Linked DNA regions of Oryzias latipes. The main gene of each other region encodes a partner of the protein of the gene in region 2 in a complex. Links are inferred from orthologs where the notes say so. Each region holds a gene or a part of one and is shown on either strand. Other genes may lie near its edges. The genes, in order: arhgef6, map3k5, dcp1a and pak1.

Region 1 (5,106 bases), on a different chromosome or scaffold from region 2:
CAAGGATTTGGAAGAAAAAAAAGACAGTGATCAAAGACTCTAACATTCTATCATTTGATTTGTTTTCTTTACCATTTTTTTTACTTCACTTATTTTTTGGTGCTCAATCTAAATTTGCAGAGAACAGAAAATATTTCAGCAAGAGATGCATGTGAGGAAACATGGAACACAGCATGACACAAACACATACTGCCATGCCAGCTGTCCATCTGTTACACACTATCCTTTATTGCAAAGGTCTAAAAAAAATAAATAAACAAAAGGGCAACATCCTCCAAATCAAGCAGATAGGGATTTAGGTAGAAGCAAGTCATCCAGCAAGGGTCAAATTCACTGTTGGGAAAAAGAGCTTCACTCTTACCTTGTGTAGCAAAATTGAATGCCATCAAAGTAGCCAGAACTTTGCCGAAATTCTCTCCAGTATATAACCACTCTGGTTCAAAGCCCTGGATGGACAGGTAGCAGAGAAGAGGATGTTAGAAACCAAAAGCTGCCCTTTATAAAAAGCTTTTTTATCTATCTATCTATCTATCTATCTATCTATCTATCTATCTATCTATCTATCTATCTATCTATCTATCTATGTACATGGCCTGTTTTCCGTCATTTTTCAGTCTTTAATAAAAGAAGGAAATGGCGGGCCATACTCATCTGTGGTTCCTGTCCACTTTCCTTTACACACTTGCACACTCACTGCTTGCCTAATCGGTCCAAGACAGCTATCTTCTTTCCTCCTTTGGCTAAGGTTTCACATTTTAAATAAAACATCTTAAATATAGAGTTTAAGTAGTATAAACTGTGCTGTGTGCAGCCTCTGGGCAATGTTCGACCAGTATGGCGGCCAATATGAGGTCATCCCAGGATCTATATAGCTGTTATAATCCACTTTGTCTGTCTTTTTTCTTTATTAATCAACAATAAGGTGGTTCATGTGTAATTTATGTTTGTTTAAAAATTGGAAATCGGAATTTTGTTGCATAGCTAAGAAAAACAGAGGGAAAGACAGGTAAGCCATGTTTAACAGAGACAATCTGTGATTAAAAGTGTGATAGTTCCCATAAATATTTGTCTTCTTAGCATCCAAAAAAAAAAAAAAAGAATTCTGACCAGTCCATCTTTTCTGGTGAATATTATGCAGTAAAAAAAAATTCTGAGGCTCAACAAAAGCAGCAGTCTTCCTTTTTTTGTCCTCGCAGAGCAGAAGTGAAAGCAGAATGGCTGCTGCTCTCTTTATGTATGTAGTAACTTGGCCTACAGGCACGGTTTGCTTTAGTAATATAACAGAAAGAATAAGAAAGAAAGAAAAAGAAGAGGAAAGTATGCTCTCCCCGAATGACTGAAAGATATTTTCTGGCTGATACATTTGGCAGAAGCGCTCCACAGACCTCTGCCCATGACCTACTGGCTGACTGCGAAAGGTCTAATTATGGGCTAAAACCGAGCTGGTGAATAAGAGCAAAGAAGACCTCTCAGACATAACAAGCCAGCTGGGCAAGCCTAGTAAACCACCGGAGTGGACCAAGCTGGGCTGACTCGATTAACGCTTCAAAGGAATCATTTCTGGGCCTCTAACCAGAGCCGATTATTTATAAAGTTGAGGGAGACATTAATGTCTGCTGTGGTAAAAACAGGCAGGCTGGTAGAGAGGTAAACTCCCAACATCTGTAAGCAATTCGCCTGGTTTCTTGTTCAGCAATAGAAACCTGCAAAAGGTACCTAGAGGTCTTTACTGACAATAAGCACTATAACAATAAAATAAAATTAAGAATTTATCAAAAAATAATACAAATAAATAAGGATTTTGACCAGCAATCCCTGGTAAGTGTGAGTGACAGCCTAGAAAGTGGCTCACACAACAAATACCCAAACACAAGCAAGAGTTGGTCAAATCAGACAGAAGACCTGCAAGAGATTCCAAGGACAGAGTAAACAGGTAATAGTGATAAAGGTCAAAGGTCAGCTCCTCATGTCTTTAAGGTAAAACAGGCAAAAAGAAGTCCATCAGATTCACCTTACCTCTACTTTCAAGGACGAGCATCCTCTTAAAAACTCTCGGATGTTGGAGATGCATTCCGCTTCAGTTCTTGGTTCTTGAGAACACTATTATAAAACAAAACACTAGATAAATAGAAAAACGTCTAGTATCTAGCTTTGGTGAAGCAAACTGTTTATCTGATACGCACCTAGCAGACACGGTTTTCATTTCAATGCGACTTAGAAGCAAGTAAAGTGACATGTTTATAATCCCAACGTGATATAATAACATACTTGAAAGCATGACTACATTTCTCCTTCATTTTCTACTTGCATTTTCAAGCCGTTACACCAAACAAATGTAAAGAACAACTTGTTTCACCAAAGCTTCCGGCCGCTTCCCCAGATTTCAAAATAAAATATGGTATTTTATCAATAAAAGTTACAGGCGACTGTGACATTTACATATTTTTGGGGGAGGGACCGTTTTTATTTTTGAATGTAGCAACTTGTCAGAAAAAAAAACACATGTATTAGAGCCGTAAGATGCAAATGTGGGCAACTTAAAAGTGTTGCTTCCGGTTGCGTTCTGCGTCTTTACGCTAGTGGCGGCGCTTTGCACTTTTTTCAAAGGGGAGGTCGCACCGGGAAGAACAGCCGTTCAAGAGGAAGTGACGACCTACATTTGCAACTGTTATCACTATCAACTTTGCCATCTTTGCGTTTAGCATAAGTTATGGCGCGTCTTTTCCAGTTTAAAAGTCTATAATGTCATGTGTAATACAAATAAAGTACCACGCACGCTCACACTTATGACATTTGCCGCCCTCCGTGCTCTTGAAGTGTCAAGTTCGTCGTATTTTGACAACATCTCTCCACACCGACCCGCTCGCGTCAAGAATGCGGAACAGATTTTTTTTCCACACGTACAGAAACAACTCCCTGAAAAGCCAGCGCGCGTGAATCTAAAGTGTTGCTAAAACTTCGAGATAAGCACGCGACATAAAGGAACATTCGGTGGTAAAATGTGTCGGCTGGGGGACACACACACAGCAGCAGGGCCGTCTGCAGGGACAACTAAGTTCCTGTCAGTATCGCTTTCGGCGAGCCTATTCCTTCTTCTCCACCAGAGAGCCGTTAATTTGGTGCCATTTGTCCGGTGAACTCGACGTCTCACCTTGGGAGTGAAGTCGGGTATGAGGCGCTCCGTGAGCTTGCACAGGACGACCCCATCCTTCAGGGATGCTTTTAGAAACTCCTCCGGGTCCGCTATGTTCTTTTTGGGCGAGCTGAGCACCCCCAGCGAGATCAACCACGTTACCGTCTGCTCCTCTGGATTCATAGCTCCGCGGTCCTCCTAAAACTGCATCGTTAAAAAAAATATTGAAGCTGCTGTGCTACCCATCAACATGCAACTCACATCCGCACTTCTGCTACAAGTTAAAAAAAAAAAAAAGAGGCAGTTGGCGGAGGAGGACGCGGCCACTGCACGCTACCCCTACTGGCAAACAGGCACCTCGACAAGCAGAGCTTCCTCCTGCAGAGCAGCACATCCTTCAAGATGCACACAACCACTCGTGATTGATGGAAATCAACACATCACATTAAAATTACCAGCCTTTTAATATATATATATATATATATATATATATATATATATATATATATATATACATATATATATATATATATATATATATATATACACACATATATATATATATATATACACACATATATATATATATATATACACATATATATATATATATATATATATATATATATATATATATATATATATATATATATATATATATATATATATATATATATATATATATATATATATATATATATATATATATATATATATATATATATATATATATATATATATATATATAGGAAGTTCAACCATGACTCCCTTTCCTTGTACTTTAATATTTACTATTATAAATATATATGTATATAGAAAGAGATGAGGCAAAACATTTTTCCCTCCAAAATCTTTATTAAGCCCAACTGTAAACTTCATCAAAACTTTAACTTGCTCCTCTTTCTACAAGTTCTTCCACTTGATGCAGTCCAGCCCAAACCTCAAGAGAAGGTTCTGCCAGGACCTGGAAAAAACAAAAACAATCATATTTTAGTACTTTGTTTTAAATCATTGCGCTTTAGCTCATTAACTTCAGATAAATATGCAGCAGTTACAAGGATAAGTAATGGAGTGGACGATGTCACTTTGTTTAAGGCAGGGTCCACCTAATATTTTTAAAATAAGAAGAGCTAGAACCCAAAACCCCCCAAAAATCAGAAAGCTACATTTACAACCAGTGCTTCAAATAACAGCAATTAAGTGTTGATTAATTAACACCATTATTTTTACAGAGTAATCCAATTACTTTTTTTGTTATTATACAGTTACTGCAAACCAAACACACCAGCAGCTGGTGTTGTGTCAAAGTATCTGAAGGGGAAACTGGGAGAGTTAAGTTATTATGATGGGATAAAGGAAGTGTCATTCTTCATGGTAGCCAACTGGAGACTATGTTGTTTTCCAACACAAGGCAAAACACTCATCCCACACACAAACACCAAGCAGGTGGAAAAGCTGCAGAAATAGTGAGTCCAGAGCAGAACTACTTACAGAATCCTGTCTCAGGTTTAGATTTTGATGTTAATTAAATAGTTACTATAAGAACGTTTTTCATTATTTTAAAGGTCTGCCCTAGCGCTCTTGCCTCACAGCAAGAAAGGCTGCTGGTTCAAATCCCGGCTGGGGGACCTGAAACAGAACATCAATGGGTGGAGTGTGCATTTTCTCCCAGTGCATGTGTGGATTTCTCCGGCTTCCTCCAACAGTCCAAAAACATGCTTCATGGGTTAATTGGTTACTCTAAATTGTCCCTGGGTGTGAATGTGAGGGTGTGCGATTGTGGCCCTGCGAAAGACTGGCGACCTGTCCAGGACGTCCCCTGCCTTCACCCACGAGTGGCCGGGATAGGCTCCAGCAGCCCCGTGACCCCAAAAGGGTTTAGAAGATGAACAAATAGCAGAGAGATTGATGTGTTCCAACTTTAGCAGCAGATGATGTTGATAAAAATCACCATAATCAAGAATAGGAAGGAT
Region 2 (4,524 bases):
GTTAAGATTAGTCTTTTTTATTTTAACACACAAATCAATTTTTAGGATACAAAACAAACAAACACAATGTTAATAATTACATCCCCACATTTTTGACATGATTAAAAAAGGTAATTTGTGTGAAAATGTTTTTTTTTTATTCTTGTTGGCCGAATAAACAATAAAAACAGAGGATGTTAAATCATTTAGGGTGATATTTTCTATCATATGCGGCACTAAAAATAAACAAACTTGGTCCGCATGTCGTCTATGCTCTAAGCCCGCAGTGCCCTCTATATATGACATATTTTATTCACATAGATTCTTATATCACAATATTTACAGCAAATATTAGAAATAAAACTTTTTGATTTATTTGTCAGAGAAAATGTGAAAAAAAAATAAACCCAAAAGAAATTTAAATAAGTTTCAGTTTGCGGAGGCCATGCGCAGACAAAATTCAATAGTTAAACTATAAACATTTAAATAAAGTAGTGATAATATTCTGTCATAAAAAGCTCAAAGTCAAGTGTAGTTTTTTTTGTATCTCAGGCTTTTTTTTTTCTTTAGAAAATGATCAGTATTTCTGTAAACATCACATTTGGTAAAGACAGAAACAGATTTCTACTTTCAGACTATTTTTTAGGAGTTTATTATTTCCTGTTTCTATCAAATGGCATTTTAGGCACACCTGTAACTAAAGCTTTCGTGTTGAATTTGAGCGAGTGGCACTTCTTAGTCATCCTTTTGTTTTTCAAAGGGATCGAGATTCATCAATTCACTGCAGAAAAGGTCATTTTGTGCTAAAAACCCAAACTCTGGCTCCTATAAATACTGAGGTAAGGAGGGAATGCTGGGACGTCGGCGTCTCTGCGGGCTTTTTCCATTTAAGGCATCAGGCTGGTTTCTGTCTGTGGTCGCTGATGGCCTTCCAGAGTTTACACAGGACTCCTCCTCTGCAGACAAAGCAGGTTCACGCGGGACATAAAACTTTATTGACAGCACCATATTACAGATCTGATCAAAAGAAAGCTTTATTTATAACCAAAAAGTGTAAATAAGAATAAGAATGAAAAATCACAACTTTATGTTGCATTTAGTTGTTTATTTAGTGGAAACAGCATAAAATTAGTTTGTCTTTGACTTTTTAGCACACGAATGTTTTTATTTAGCATTTTTAAGAAGAGGCAGATGATGAAAATATCCTTGTTTAGCACATACACATCAAAATGAATGAAGGCCATGGAGAGGATCATCCTCAGCCATCTCCGCACTCAGGTGAGCTCAGCACTGGACCTGCTGCAGTTTGCATATCGACCAGGCATCGGGGTGGATGACGCCATCATCTACCTGCAGCATCGGGCCCTGTCTCACCTGGAGACCCCTGGGAGCACTGTGAGAGTCATGTTTTTTGATTCCTCCAGTGCCTTTAACACCATCCAGCCATCACTGCTGAGGAGGAAGCTGGAAGTTGCAGGTGTGACCAACATCTGGCTGCTTGGACCATCAACTACCTCACAGACAGACCACAGTTTGTGAGGCTGCATGACTGTGTGTCTGATGTGGTGGTCTGCAGCACGGGGGCACCTCAAGGGACTGTGCTCTCCCCATTCCTGTTCACCCTGTACACATCAGACTTTAAATACGTCTCCCACCACGGTCATCTGCAGAAGTTCTCAGAGGACAGTGCCATTGTGGGCTGCGTTTCAGGGGGGTCATCTCTGACTCTGTTGGCTGGTGTGAAAATAACCACCTGCTGCTTAACACCAGCAAGACAAAGGAGCTGATCCTGGACTTCAGGAGGTCCTCGCCACCACAGTCACTGGTGGACATCCAGGGTTCAGACATTGAGGTCGTGGACACATTTAAATATCTGGGTGTTCACCTGAACAACAGACTTGACTGGTCCAACAACACGGATGCTCTGTACAGGAGGGGCCAGAGTCGCCTTCACCTGCTGAGGAGACTGAGGTCGTTTGGCGTGTGCAGACAGCTGCTGAGGACCTTTTACGACACTGTGGTGGCCTCAGTGGTCCTTTATGGAGTTGTGTGCTGGGCGGGGGGCAGTGCAGACAGAGACAGGAGGAGGCTTAACAAACTGGTTAAGAAGGCCGGCTCTGTCCTGGGCTGCACACTGGAGTCCATGGAGGAGGTGGGGGACAAGAGGATGTTAGCTAAGCTAACATGTTAGCTAAGCTAACATCCATCATGGATACCCCCTCCCACCCCCTGCACCAAACTGTGGAGGCGCTGACCACCTTCTTCAGCACCAGACTGTTGCATCCAACGTGCAAGAAGGAGCTACTGCAGGTCATTCCTCCCCACAGCCATCAGACTGTCCAACACCGTGTTACAGTGAAACACTACGGTCCCACAGGTGTTTTGTTTTTTCATTCATTCTATTTATTTTGTAAACTGTTGTTGTCGTTGTTTTTTTATCCTTCTACAGTTGATTCTGCTGCATATTTTTATTAAGTTATTTTCTGTTTGTACTTCTGAATGTCTATTTTTGCTGCTTGAGATAAAATAATTTCCCCATTGTGGGATGAATAAAGTTTATCTCATCTTATCTTAAATATCCACTAGGGGGAAATATATGCAAAAAACGAAAGAAAACATAAGAATGCACGAGATTTTAGTTTTAATCTTTTAACTCGTTTCACTGCATTCTTTTCCTCTTTTCCTCTGTTATTTTCAGATTACTATCACTGGAGCTTCAGCTCTAGTGTTGACATTCTACCGTAACTCTTCAACTGTTTACACAATAAACGTAACTTTAGCTGATTCTGAAACAGAGAAAAGCAGCTTTGCCCCCGCTATGCAACACTTTACGTTAGTAAGGCGTTAAAATGTCAGAATAGTGTTGAAGCTGTCAAAAAGTCATGCTGTGAAGGGTTAACTAGGAATCTGTAGTTTACTGATCAACCACTAGGGGGTGGTGTTGCAGAGGCAAGTTGATCTACAACTTTGACAAGGTAATATCAGAAATACACATAGTTACAGTTTAGTTTTTTGTTGTTGACATTCTTGCTGATTTTTTTCCCAGAAGTATACCAAAAACATTTTGTTTTTCACATTTTGTGCAGACAAGGATAGCCTAGAAGTTATCTGTTACAAATGCTGATTAATTGCAGATGAAATATTTTCCTTGCTGCAAGACCTTTTTTTGGGGGTTTATATACCGGATGAAATCGATGATATTTCATGACAAATGAGCACTTTTTTTTAAACTGACATTTTTCTCAAAAATTGTGCCATTTAAAAAGAAAACTGCTCCAACAGACGTATTTGTTCACTATAACATTTCCTAGCACAGCATTTGCTGCTGACTGACCACTGGGTGGCGACAAACTCTAAATTATTACTGTTCTTTGGTGATTCTGTTTTAGAGTTTTAGAGTTTTTCTTTAAATAAATGACAGATATTTTCAATCTGAACTCATGAAATCAGTTTACAAATTGGAAAAACACCGCAGCATAAAGTGTTATGAAACAACTCTTGCAGCTTCTCTTCTGCATTTTTCTGTGTTTGAGTCTGGATGCAGAAGTGAGACTAAAAACATAAAAAAGTGGGTGTGTTACCTCAGGTTGAGGCTCTTCAGATCGTCCCTCGTTACATCGTAGAGCATGTTGTTCAGCGTAAACTCCTCGTTCAGTATCTGGATAAATTGCAGGAGTTGATTCTGCTTAGTTCAAACCCAAAGGAAGGTGTTGCGCGCTGCGGCAGGGCCTCACCGCGTCTATGGCGTCCTGCTCCAGGCCGCAGAGCCTCAGCCAGCTGCTCAGCTCCGGGTCTTCGCGACTGTCGGCGCGCTGACTCCTGAGCTCCTGCTGGACGTCCACTGTGGTTCCTGACAGAAGTGGATAAGGAGACTCGGTCAGCGCAATGAGCTTTTCATCAAATGTTCACACGGGGGGGGGAGCGCTATACCATACGTTAAGTTATGTTTATTCAAAAAACTAGTTATTAAGGGGACACGGCGACATCTCTGGGGTTAAACGGTTCCGGAATTATCTCTCTTTAATGTTTTTTATTGGTGAAGGAATTCAGTTTTTTTTCATTCCAATTTACTTTAATGTTCACCTTTAACCCTTTAAAGCTCAGTTTGCATATGGACCAGGCATCGGGGGTTAAACAAACTTAAAGACATATTCAGACCGGATTTCATGTCCATGACAACCGAACTCTATCGACTTTTATTTGGCTTCTTGTTCATTTTTTGAAATCAAAGGTGAACACAAAACGGTTGTTTTAGTGGCCATCTTGCCACGGTTTTTGTTTGGATACATTTGGCTTCACTCACCCACAGTTTTTAACTAAGCCCTGATGAAATGTTTGACCTGGAAATCTCCACCATTTCCCTATGTTCACTTTTCCTCAAGCTAATACCAAAAACCGTGAACTTTTCAGTCTAAACTTTTGATTGTTCACAGTGTTTAAGACAATGTTTACCCAAACCTTTATGAAGATAATCACTATTAACAGTTATGTTTTTCTGGGTTAGAAAATAAAAACACCCTTTTTTTCATGTCTGGTTTTTTAGAT
Region 3 (5,248 bases), on a different chromosome or scaffold from region 2:
AAAATAACCCCAAAAGGCTGTGAATGATTAATTTAATCATTAGTTCTCAACAACAACAAGATCAAATATTAAAGCTTACTTAATAATCCTAAAGTTTAAACATCTGTTTGAATAAAATGGGTAAAAAAACTGATAGAATAAAAGAAGTTCACAGAATTCTTCCAAGAACCAGATGTGGAAAACTAAAAACTGAAGTTTATGAAAGGACTTTGATCGCACAGATCAAACTACTACTGAAATGTAAAATAATGTAATTACAAAAAGGTTTAACTGTAAAAATAATATCTGGTTGTTATTACTTTATGTTGCAAGTGTGTTGTAAAATCCCGGTGTCTGAATCTCTTGTGAAGCAACAGTAACCCGGCAACCAAAACATTTGCCTCCCTGCAGCACCATCAGCGTCCAAAGGGAAAAGGATGAGGTGTAAACAGGTGTGTCCAAGTGTTTCTCTGCAACACTATTCTCCACATCCAAGCACATTTGCAGTGAGCTCTGCACCACTCACAGGAGCGAAACGTAAACATTTAAACCCTTTATTTGGAGAATTATATTTGGATCCTGATCGTTTTTGATGGTGACATTTCTCCTTCAGAGGGTGGGTTGTTCTTTTGCAGGACTTTCAAGATCAGAATTGGAATCTCCACCTTCAAAGCCAAACCTACACTAAAGGAGAAAAAGCGCAGAAACATTTTTCTCTCCAAACAAGTGGATAAACTAACAGAGTGAGACGGGACTGAAAACCAACCGACGGAAAAACAAACAAACAAAAAAAAACCACTTCGACTAACGTTTGCAGAGAAAAGCTTAGTTGCCAAGACGGATGTATCTTCACCTCAACTCAAGGAGCATTATCAGCTAATGTTTCCTGAGAAAACTGCTCTTCATTTTATCTTTTTGAAACTAAAGCTGACAGAAAGGAAGTAAGCGATGACAAAAGCCCCGAAGACTTGAGTGAAGCTACTGGAGAAGCAGACTATATTGGATCACCAACAAAACACTGCATCATGGCTTCCATACCTGCCAGGCTGCTGGGAAAACCAAAGCCCAAAGGAGAACAATCCACTTTGACTTTAACCTTGGCTATGCTAACTTTTCTCATCAGCAAACAAATGGGAAAGCAGTCGAATTCTTTGTTCATCGCTTTGATGAAACTTCTGCTCAGACTCCTCATTGATTATCTTGGTGGAAGTGCTGTCAGCTACTTTTTGAAGATCTAGTATGGCGCAATTTTTTTCTATTTGACCCATTTTTCCAGGAGGAAATTACAGGATTGAACAATCAGCAAACTAAAACAATTATAGCAGAAGAAGTTTGATGAATGAAACTTTGAACTCTTTTTGCTTTTTGACCCAAATGCGAAGGATAACTGTTGCAAAACCAGCTGGAAGCGCTTGTTTACGAGGCCGCTGTAGGCCATGAATGACAAAGTGTTCCTGCTTAATGCTTCAAGAAGTCACCATGAGTTCAAGCAAAAAGGAGAAGAGATGTTCCACCGAACACTGGGGAGGTGTTTATCCAGAATGTTCAGAGGTACTGTCAGAATTATTTGAGCATTTGTGAACAATAGATTGTTCACAAACTAGGTATGACAGCCACTTTTGACAGTTTGTGAATCCGCGGTGCACTACAATGACTTATACATTAAGGTGGGTTCACAAAGAATAAAGGAAATGGACAAAAAAGCTGCAAATAAAACGGCGTATTTAAAAAACAAGAGTTAACTTGAAAATTTCCATTTTACTTTGGCAAAAATGTCCTGGATTACTCAGTGAATTGTGCTTTATTCTAATTTTGTATCGACAATGTGGTCAGAAATTTTTACGACTTCCTATTTTCAACAAAAAATGTGATCTAAGCATTAAATCAGCATGTCTTCATCTCAACTCAAGACGTTTCACTCTATAATCATGTGGGCAGCCTCATCCTGGTTTTAATGAATACCTTGTAGCTTCAAAAGATCACTATTCCTTGAAATCTACTTAAATAGAACATCATTATAAAGCACTTTTGAATTAAATTAATGATTACAACTCTTCCATACTTTGATGAGGATTTTTATTCAAACCACTTACAGTTGCCATTCTTGTAGAGCAAGAAAGGATCCTGCAGTTGGAATTCCAGGTCTTTGTTAATAGGCTCCACAAGGTTGACTGTACTTAATCTGTTCATGATGGTGAAGCCATGATAAGGAGAAGCAGACCTAAAAGGAACAAACATCACTCTGTTGATAATGCTTCATTGTTTACTGTTGACAAAGCAATTAAAAAACACTTGAAAAAAACTTTTATGACAGTGAAATGTTGGATATTTCAAAATTGATAAAAACATTTCTAGTTTTTACAATTCTTTGTTTAAAGGTAAATATAATCTGGCAATTTTTAAAAACAAGTTTTATTGTTAATTTTCCTAATGATTTTCTAAAAAAGACAGAAAATAAATGCACATGACTTGATTTAAAAATTTCTGAGGCAAAAAAAAGTCAGTTATATTAAATCATAAATGTACAGTTTTCTTGGCAAATTGTTTGATGAGCAAAATTCATTTTTTGTACTGTAAACATAAAAATCTAGGCTGGGGCAAGTTTTCTCGATTTGTTTACAAATACGCCTACGGTGGCCTGTGCACATGCGCAGAGCACCCAATGATGAAGTAAACAATCAAATTACGAGTTCAAGTGCTAATCTTACCTGGCATAAACAAACAGAGTGCCTTCGATGTCGGTCTTCTCCTAAAATGTTTAAAATAACATTACAAGTCAAAACATGTTCTGAAAAGGTGCTGCCGAATCTGTGAACAATAGTTTAACTAAAGGAAATACATTTAAAAATACAAAAATTGAAAGGACTAGAAATAGCATTAGCTAAAATAACGAAGCATAAAGGTCCACGTACGGTAAAGCTTTAGTGAACATAGTGCTACTGTCGCGTTTTGATTAACGAGGGCTAGCACCATGAGCTAAGTAAACATGATGATAAAGCCTCATTCGAATCACAGAAAATCATAAAGTAACTAATGAACTTACCCACTCGTTTACTTTAGAATTAAAGTTGTAAAGTGCAACTTGACCAGTTACATCTAGTAATTTGTTTATATAGGGGTCTTGTCTTTGAAGAGCTGCTAAGCTCATCATATGTCCCGCACTTACAGTTTCCATCTTGGATCGGTCTGTTGTACCTACACGGACGAATTTTTTTGAAACACTTTCAACTTCGCTTGTCCCCGGAAGTGGCGGCGCTCAAAAATAGTTCCCCACTTCCACTATTTTTTTTTAAAGCTCAACTTTATTGCACATTATGCCATTTTACAAAAATGTACTTTTAGGTATGAAAAAAAAACCACAACTGCAAATATCAAATACACTTCTGTAACAAACAGAAGAACAAGACTAGAAATAGTTATAAGCCAGGGGGTTAAACTCTACGAAAAAATACTGAATCTATCACATACAGACAATGTTCTGATTGCTTTTTGCTTCTCTGAATTTCGAATACTGTTGATATACTGATTTAATTTAGAAAAGAATACAGTGAAACAGGGTTTTCTACCTGAAAATGTACATTTATGAACATGGAATTTTGCCAAAATGAGTAAAAGATTTAGAAGTAAACAAGAGTCCTTTTGCATATTTTTTTATATTAGACCCAACAAGACATCTTTCCAAAACAAGACAAAACAAGAATCAATTTTATCATTAATAAAATCACACATCTTCTGCCAAAACACCTTAACTTTGGGACAATACCAAAAAAGATGGATAACTGTTTCAGGGGAATCACAACCAAAGCTACAAAGTGTCTCAATGTTTAATTTAAATCTGTTCTGGATAAACGTTTTAGTTAGAATTATTTTGATTTGGACCTAATTTCATAAGTTTTGTTAAAACAATCTATAACGATACGAACAGTGTAGTTATTTCACCGAATGGCATTTCTCCCAGATTTTTAATTAACAAAAGAATTAAACAAGGCTGTCCAATTTTCACCGTTGCTTTTTATAACAGCAACAGAAATGTTATCAATACTTATAACAAACTCTGGTTTCTGTAAACTCAATGTCCTGGGAGAACAGTTAGCCATTACTAAGCTGGCAGACGACACGGCCGTATTCATGAAGGAGAGTCATCAAATACCGGAGATCTTTCAAACCGCAGATTCCTATTCTAAAGCAACTGGTTTAAAACTAAATCTCAGCAAGTGTGAATTGTAAGTAAATTTAAACATGTGGTCACAGCGTGACATTTCTATTCTGGGCAGAATGTTTCTCACTAAATTAGATTGTTTATCCAGATTCATTTATCCAGCATATTCACTCCCAATTCCTAAATCTGCAAGGAAAACAAGAAACCAGGGCAATTTTAACTTCATCTGGAAAAACAAAACTCATTACATAAAAAATGAATAATAATTCAGGATTACAGTGAAGGTGGATTTAAAGCCATAGACTTTGAAAGTTTGAATAGTATGATTAAAATAAATTGGCTTAGGGCTTTTCTGCAAAATGAAATAAATATTTTGTTTCATATTCCTTCAAACTTTTTCTCCCATCTGGGGGGCATTGAATTCCTCCTAAAATGTGATTTTGATGTAAGAATGCAGTCTATCCGTGCAAAGAACTACTACGTATACATTTTGGTTTTCCAGAAAATAACTGTTCTTTCTGTGACATAAATATAGAAACACTTGATCATCTGTTTTTGGAATGTATATATGTTAACAATTTTTGGGAGGATTTTTTTTCTTGGTGCTCCTCAAAGTTTCCCTTTCCTATTTCTATTCAATTACAAAAGCGCATCATATTATTTGGAATGGTTTCTGGTGATAATCTATTTTATTTGACATTCAATACTTTATTAATATCTGGGAAATGTTTAATTCACAAGAGCAGAATTTCAAAACCAAACCATTATTTAATACAGTTGATATAGAGATCAGTTAATATTTTAAATCTCTGAAATTAATAAAAAACAAAAATGCAATAAAACTGTCTATTTTCATTGAAGATTACATGTTGTATGACAACCCCTAGCATTGTAAACTACAATTTTAATGTTTTTTTATTTTAATTGTTCTTTTATTTGTATTTTATTCTTTTTTTATTTCTTTCTGTTGTAGCTATGTGTATTTGTTTGTTTGAAGTTCAATAAAAAAACAACTTCTACTAAACTCTGCAACTTCTGTGAAAAAAAGGAAGAAAGATAGAAATCCTTAATTTATATTTATTTTATTTAAAACAAATCAGAACAACGTGC
Region 4 (4,524 bases), on a different chromosome or scaffold from region 2:
TAAAGTCGCTGTCATGACTCCACCAACATCTTTGAACGAGCATCTATAGTTTTCGTGCCACTTTTTTAAATAATTGAATCCATTTATTGAGTTTGGCATTAATCACATTCTGTTTAGAAAAGTTTTTTCAAATGACTTTAAAGATTTGACAGACAGTGGGTCTGAGAAAGAGACAGGTGGCAGAGATGAAGATGTTGAGGTTCTCTGACCAGGATGAGGAATGAATCCATCAGAGGAACTGATCCTGGGAAGCAGATTGTGATGGTTTCAGAGGAGGGGCAGGGACCATTGATGTAGTGAAGAAGAGCATGGGGATGGTTGGTGTGAATGAGGAGAGGATGATTCCAACGAACACCTTATCAAATGTCAGAAGAAAACCTTCTTGACTCTAAACTTCTTCTATATATTGACTTACGCTGTAAGGGTGAGTAAAAGTGTAAAGCAGTTTTACCTTTATTTTGCATACTTTCATAACATGTTCTCATCAAAGACAGCTATGATAAGCTCAAAGGCTAATTGGAAAAGTTTGTTTCAGTTTGTTTCTTAGCATTTTGCATAACTTTGTGCTTTTTTTTCCTGTGTTTTTAATAGAAGTTGTGAAAATAAATTTTCATCGTGTCATGTATTTTTACAAATGCAAAAACACTTCTGACTTCACATGCATTCCAACTAATACTGAAATATTTTCATCTTTTGATTGAATATTTATGAAAGTCACTTGAAGACCCACTCTGATTAAACATTTTTTTTATGTTTTTAACATCTTGTGGCAATTTTCTGCTTATTGAGGACATATATAAAGAGAATCAAGCATAAAATGTAATTTCTGAGTATTTCTTTAACCAAACTGTTGTGAATCAGGAGCAGAGGAAATTTTCCGTTTGAAAAAGCGCTTAATTCTGATCTTAAAATATGCTAGGTGGGCAAGCTTCATGCTCCAAGCTCCCAGCAAAGGGGAGGGGAAGGGGGGGTGGGCCTGCTCCTTACCAAAGTTTTATTTATTTATTTTTAAATTTCATTCTGTCCAGCAGAGAGAAAGGACGTGAAGGCCTCTTGTGTTGGACAAATTTTACATACTTTTATTTCTTAAAACATACTGTTTAAGCAAAGTATATAAGCACTTCCTGTTACGTTTGTATGAAAACTTCTTTATGAATAAAGTTTTGATTTGATATCAAATGTAGCCAAGTGTGTTTTGAAACAATGTTTTCTTTTAAAACCAATCTGTCTTTTTTTCAAAAGTGTGTAAAATGAAATATACTTTAAAAAGTCTCTACTAAAAGTTTACTAAGAAGTATAATACAAAAAACAACAAAAAAGTAAATTCTTACTGATTTTGTGTGTTCTGGACGGGGCGCAACCACCGGCGGGGGCTCCACCTCCTCCTCGTCTTCATCCTCGGATACGGTTGCTATGGCGGGAGTCTCCAACACGGCTTTGGTGCTCTGCATGATGTCACAGGGGGAGAGAGGGAGGAGCCTGAGTGACGCCATGGCTACATGAGCGATCATCGATACGAGACCCATCATTGCTTCCTGCTGCTCTCTGATGCTTCCTAATCTCATCAGGCAGACATTCCTCCTGCCCGTCTTCAGCTCTTCTTCTCTGGGTCTTATTCAACCCTTTCAACTCTCCCTCCATCTTTTTGTTCGCCCGCCTCCCGTCATCTCCTTTGCCGTCTGAAAGCTCTGCTCAGGTGTGGCTTGTGATGCTACATCTTCCTCTCTTCTTCTCCTCCTCCTCCTCTGTCTGCCCGCGATGCTCGGCTGGTGGCCAAGCTGCAGGGACGGGCAAATGGCGAGGAGACAAGATGCTGATTCATAATGCAGAGGAGGAGACAGAGGAGTACATCTGGAGGAACTCCTGCTGTTCTTCATCGTTGTCTTCACCATTACGTTCAGAAATGAAACAAAATCGAGTTCAAAAGCAGTCTGTCACTGCAAGAGTCTCTGATTAAGGAGCATTCCGACACACAATCAGAACTTTGTTTTTTCCTTTTTTGGCCTCAAAATATAGTTGATATATTTGGTTTAAGATATTTTATGAATGTTATGTAAATATTTAATTTAATTTTGAATCTTTTAGGGCGATTTTTACATCTACCAGCAGGGCTGGGCACATATTTTGACTGGCGGGCCAAATAGGGTTCTAAAATTAAATAGAAGGGCCGGACCAGGAGCAGATGCACGGAGTGAGAAAGAAATAACATGGCATCTGGATGAAAAGCAGTTGGATTTAAAATTATATTTTAAAACAGAGCATTTTAGAGTTTTTAGGTTAAAACGTTAGTTCTCAATTTAGAGCCAGTTGCACCAATGGCTTGATGTACTTCGTGTAAAACTTAGAGAAATGCTGCGTTCATGTGGTGTTTGAATGATTGGAAGATTGAAAAACAACAAACCTTCAAACACCACACGGATGCTAGAGCAGGGGTCCCCAAACGTTTTCGAGTGAGGGTCACAATAACTCTTTTTCTTTAAAACTTTAAACGTCTTTTCAAATCAAATCAAATCAAACTTTATTTATAAAATAGCGCTTGTCTTTCTTTAATTGCGAAGCCCTTGGGGGGCCAGCGGGGATCACATACTTTTTTTTAAGGGAATAAATTTATAACCTGAATAACTTGTGATAAAGAAAAACATATAATTAAAAAAAAGTTATGATTATCAAAAACAAGTTAAAAAAAAAGTATCAGAATAAAATTTGTTTTTCTAACCAATAGCATGACTGAGTAACAGCTATTTTTTTTCAAATGACGTATATGGGATTTTGGCATCTTGGAGCCAGCAGGTACTTCCTGTTCTAAACGTCAGAGGGGCGGAGTCACTCAGTTCAGTTCTCATATACAGTCAATGGGGAAACACTGGCAAGCGCCCCATTGTGATTGCAACTGTTCTACCAAATGGGCTCCCATGTTGAAAGGAAAAGTAGTGATTTCCCTAAATATGCTTTTAAATTCCTTTGAAACACGCGTTTTACCACAATAATATTTAGTACATTACTCTTTAGAGAAATATTTTTCAAAAGAAGTCTGAAAAAGATTTCTTTTGAAATATGTATTGTGGGGAAATTTTAAAAAATGCCTCGTTCCAGCTACAAAATTAGCATTTACGTTTGAGTTTGTTGTCAAACTCTCATTTTATCCTTTCTACTTTAAGGATTGTTCCATTCTGCTTTAGATAAATCCGCTTTCAGGCGAGTCAGCAGATGCACTAAGGACTGAATTCTTTCTCTTAGGTCTACACAACGCACAGCAACCGGCATGAAAGAGATCTGCCAAGCGAGTAATGACCATAATTCCACGCTGCTTTGTGTGAGGCTGTGGAATCCTTGCAGGTTGGTGAGGAACTTTTAAAACCAACAGCATCATGAACTTTGCCAACAGAACTAAGACAAGAAAAAACAAAACATGTCACTTTAGTTTCTGAGTTCTTCTTTTGCTTAATTTCTTACACAAATGAGTAAATGTGTCACGTGTCCTTAGGGAGCGAATCAGAGGCGGTCTTACCGTTGTGGTGGAGGAGCTGTACACGTCTAGGTTTTTATCTGCAATAAGAAAAAGACAAAAAAATTATATGATACATGTTATAAAAATGATCTAAAAGAAACCTAACATCAATTGTGATACAAGTACTAAAGAAATAGGGATGTCCCAATCCGATCACGTGACTGGAATACGGGCGAATCGCGTCGTTTCACACTTTATTGGAGTCAGATGTTGAATCATTATTTCCTTGTTATTATGATCATATATTTCAAGCTTATTACCACAAATAAGTATTCTACTAGAGGTCTGCATATCATGAACAGATTACATTTTATTGGCGTAAAGCACAGCAGGAGGCGCACAAAAACAGTTCGGTAAAGTTAGCAAGATATTCACAGCTTCAGACTTCCAGGCTCCAAAACTCTTAAAAAACGTTCAAAACTGTCATCAAATATCTCTATTGGTTTTTCTTTATGCAAACGAAGAAATAAAAAGATTGAGTTTTTTTATTCCAAGAGGAAACACTGGAGTAAAAAACATCAGAATAAAAATTATCATAAAATAACAACAATAAAAATAGAAAAAGATAAAAATTAAAATAAGATATAAGAATGTTAGGTATTAAAAAATAAAATATGTAAACTGATTAAAACATAACCTTAGTATCATTGGTAAAATAACAATAAAAAGAATAGCATATTAAAAACAGAGATAATAATAGTCCTTACAAATAAATAAATGAATAAATACGTAAATTAATTAATAAATAGATAAATAATAAAAGACATAAGAAATGATCAAAGTCATGTTAAAGCCAGACTAAAAAGGTGGGTCTTGAGCCTCTTCTTAAAAACCTCTAAATACACTACTTAATTCTCAGAATTTGACTATTTCGACTTTTTTCTGGTAAATTTACAACTTTTCTTTGGTTTGTTAACCGGTCCCAAGACTAAGTCGTGAATTTTCTAGTTGATAGTTGAACCTTTTTCTTCACAAAAGTGCTCTGGTTAAGTATTAAATTATAGAAGAAGGTTCAT

Evidence for each region.
Region 1: map3k5 (region 2) and arhgef6 share a complex: the UniProt entries of both Homo sapiens proteins name them as parts of the cytoplasmic complex. The link is inferred for Oryzias latipes from reciprocal best matches to the Homo sapiens genes MAP3K5 and ARHGEF6.
Region 3: map3k5 (region 2) and dcp1a share a complex: the UniProt entries of both Homo sapiens proteins name them as parts of the cytoplasmic complex. The link is inferred for Oryzias latipes from reciprocal best matches to the Homo sapiens genes MAP3K5 and DCP1A.
Region 4: map3k5 (region 2) and pak1 share a complex: the UniProt entries of both Homo sapiens proteins name them as parts of the cytoplasmic complex. The link is inferred for Oryzias latipes from reciprocal best matches to the Homo sapiens genes MAP3K5 and PAK1.

Annotation. Positions count from the first base shown.
Region 1 is NC_019868.2:11,001,748-11,006,853, reverse strand, and holds the start of arhgef6 (rho guanine nucleotide exchange factor 6), read right to left. Parts: upstream 3,474-5,106; 5' UTR 3,317-3,473; coding exon 3,152-3,316; intron 2,432-3,151; exon of another isoform or gene 2,184-2,431; intron 2,101-2,183; coding exon 2,017-2,100; intron 447-2,016; coding exon 362-446; intron 1-361. UniProt on the Homo sapiens protein: Acts as a RAC1 guanine nucleotide exchange factor (GEF).
Region 2 is NC_019882.2:18,716,690-18,721,213, forward strand, and holds the end of map3k5 (mitogen-activated protein kinase kinase kinase 5), read right to left. Parts: intron 3,830-4,524; coding exon 3,714-3,829; intron 3,638-3,713; coding exon 3,561-3,637; intron 936-3,560; coding exon 875-935; 3' UTR 2-874; downstream 1-1. UniProt on the Homo sapiens protein: Serine/threonine kinase which acts as an essential component of the MAP kinase signal transduction pathway. Plays an important role in the cascades of cellular responses evoked by changes in the environment.
Region 3 is NC_019865.2:7,301,182-7,306,429, reverse strand, and holds the start of dcp1a (mRNA-decapping enzyme 1A), read right to left. Parts: upstream 3,194-5,248; 5' UTR 3,155-3,193; coding exon 3,023-3,154; intron 2,729-3,022; coding exon 2,688-2,728; intron 2,201-2,687; coding exon 2,073-2,200; intron 1-2,072. UniProt on the Homo sapiens protein: Necessary for the degradation of mRNAs, both in normal mRNA turnover and in nonsense-mediated mRNA decay. Removes the 7-methyl guanine cap structure from mRNA molecules, yielding a 5'-phosphorylated mRNA fragment and 7m-GDP.
Region 4 is NC_019871.2:4,534,080-4,538,603, reverse strand, and holds part of pak1 (serine/threonine-protein kinase PAK 1), read right to left. Parts: intron 3,547-4,524; coding exon 3,509-3,546; intron 1,446-3,508; coding exon 1,332-1,445; intron 1-1,331. UniProt on the Homo sapiens protein: Protein kinase involved in intracellular signaling pathways downstream of integrins and receptor-type kinases that plays an important role in cytoskeleton dynamics, in cell adhesion, migration, proliferation, apoptosis, mitosis, and in vesicle-mediated transport processes.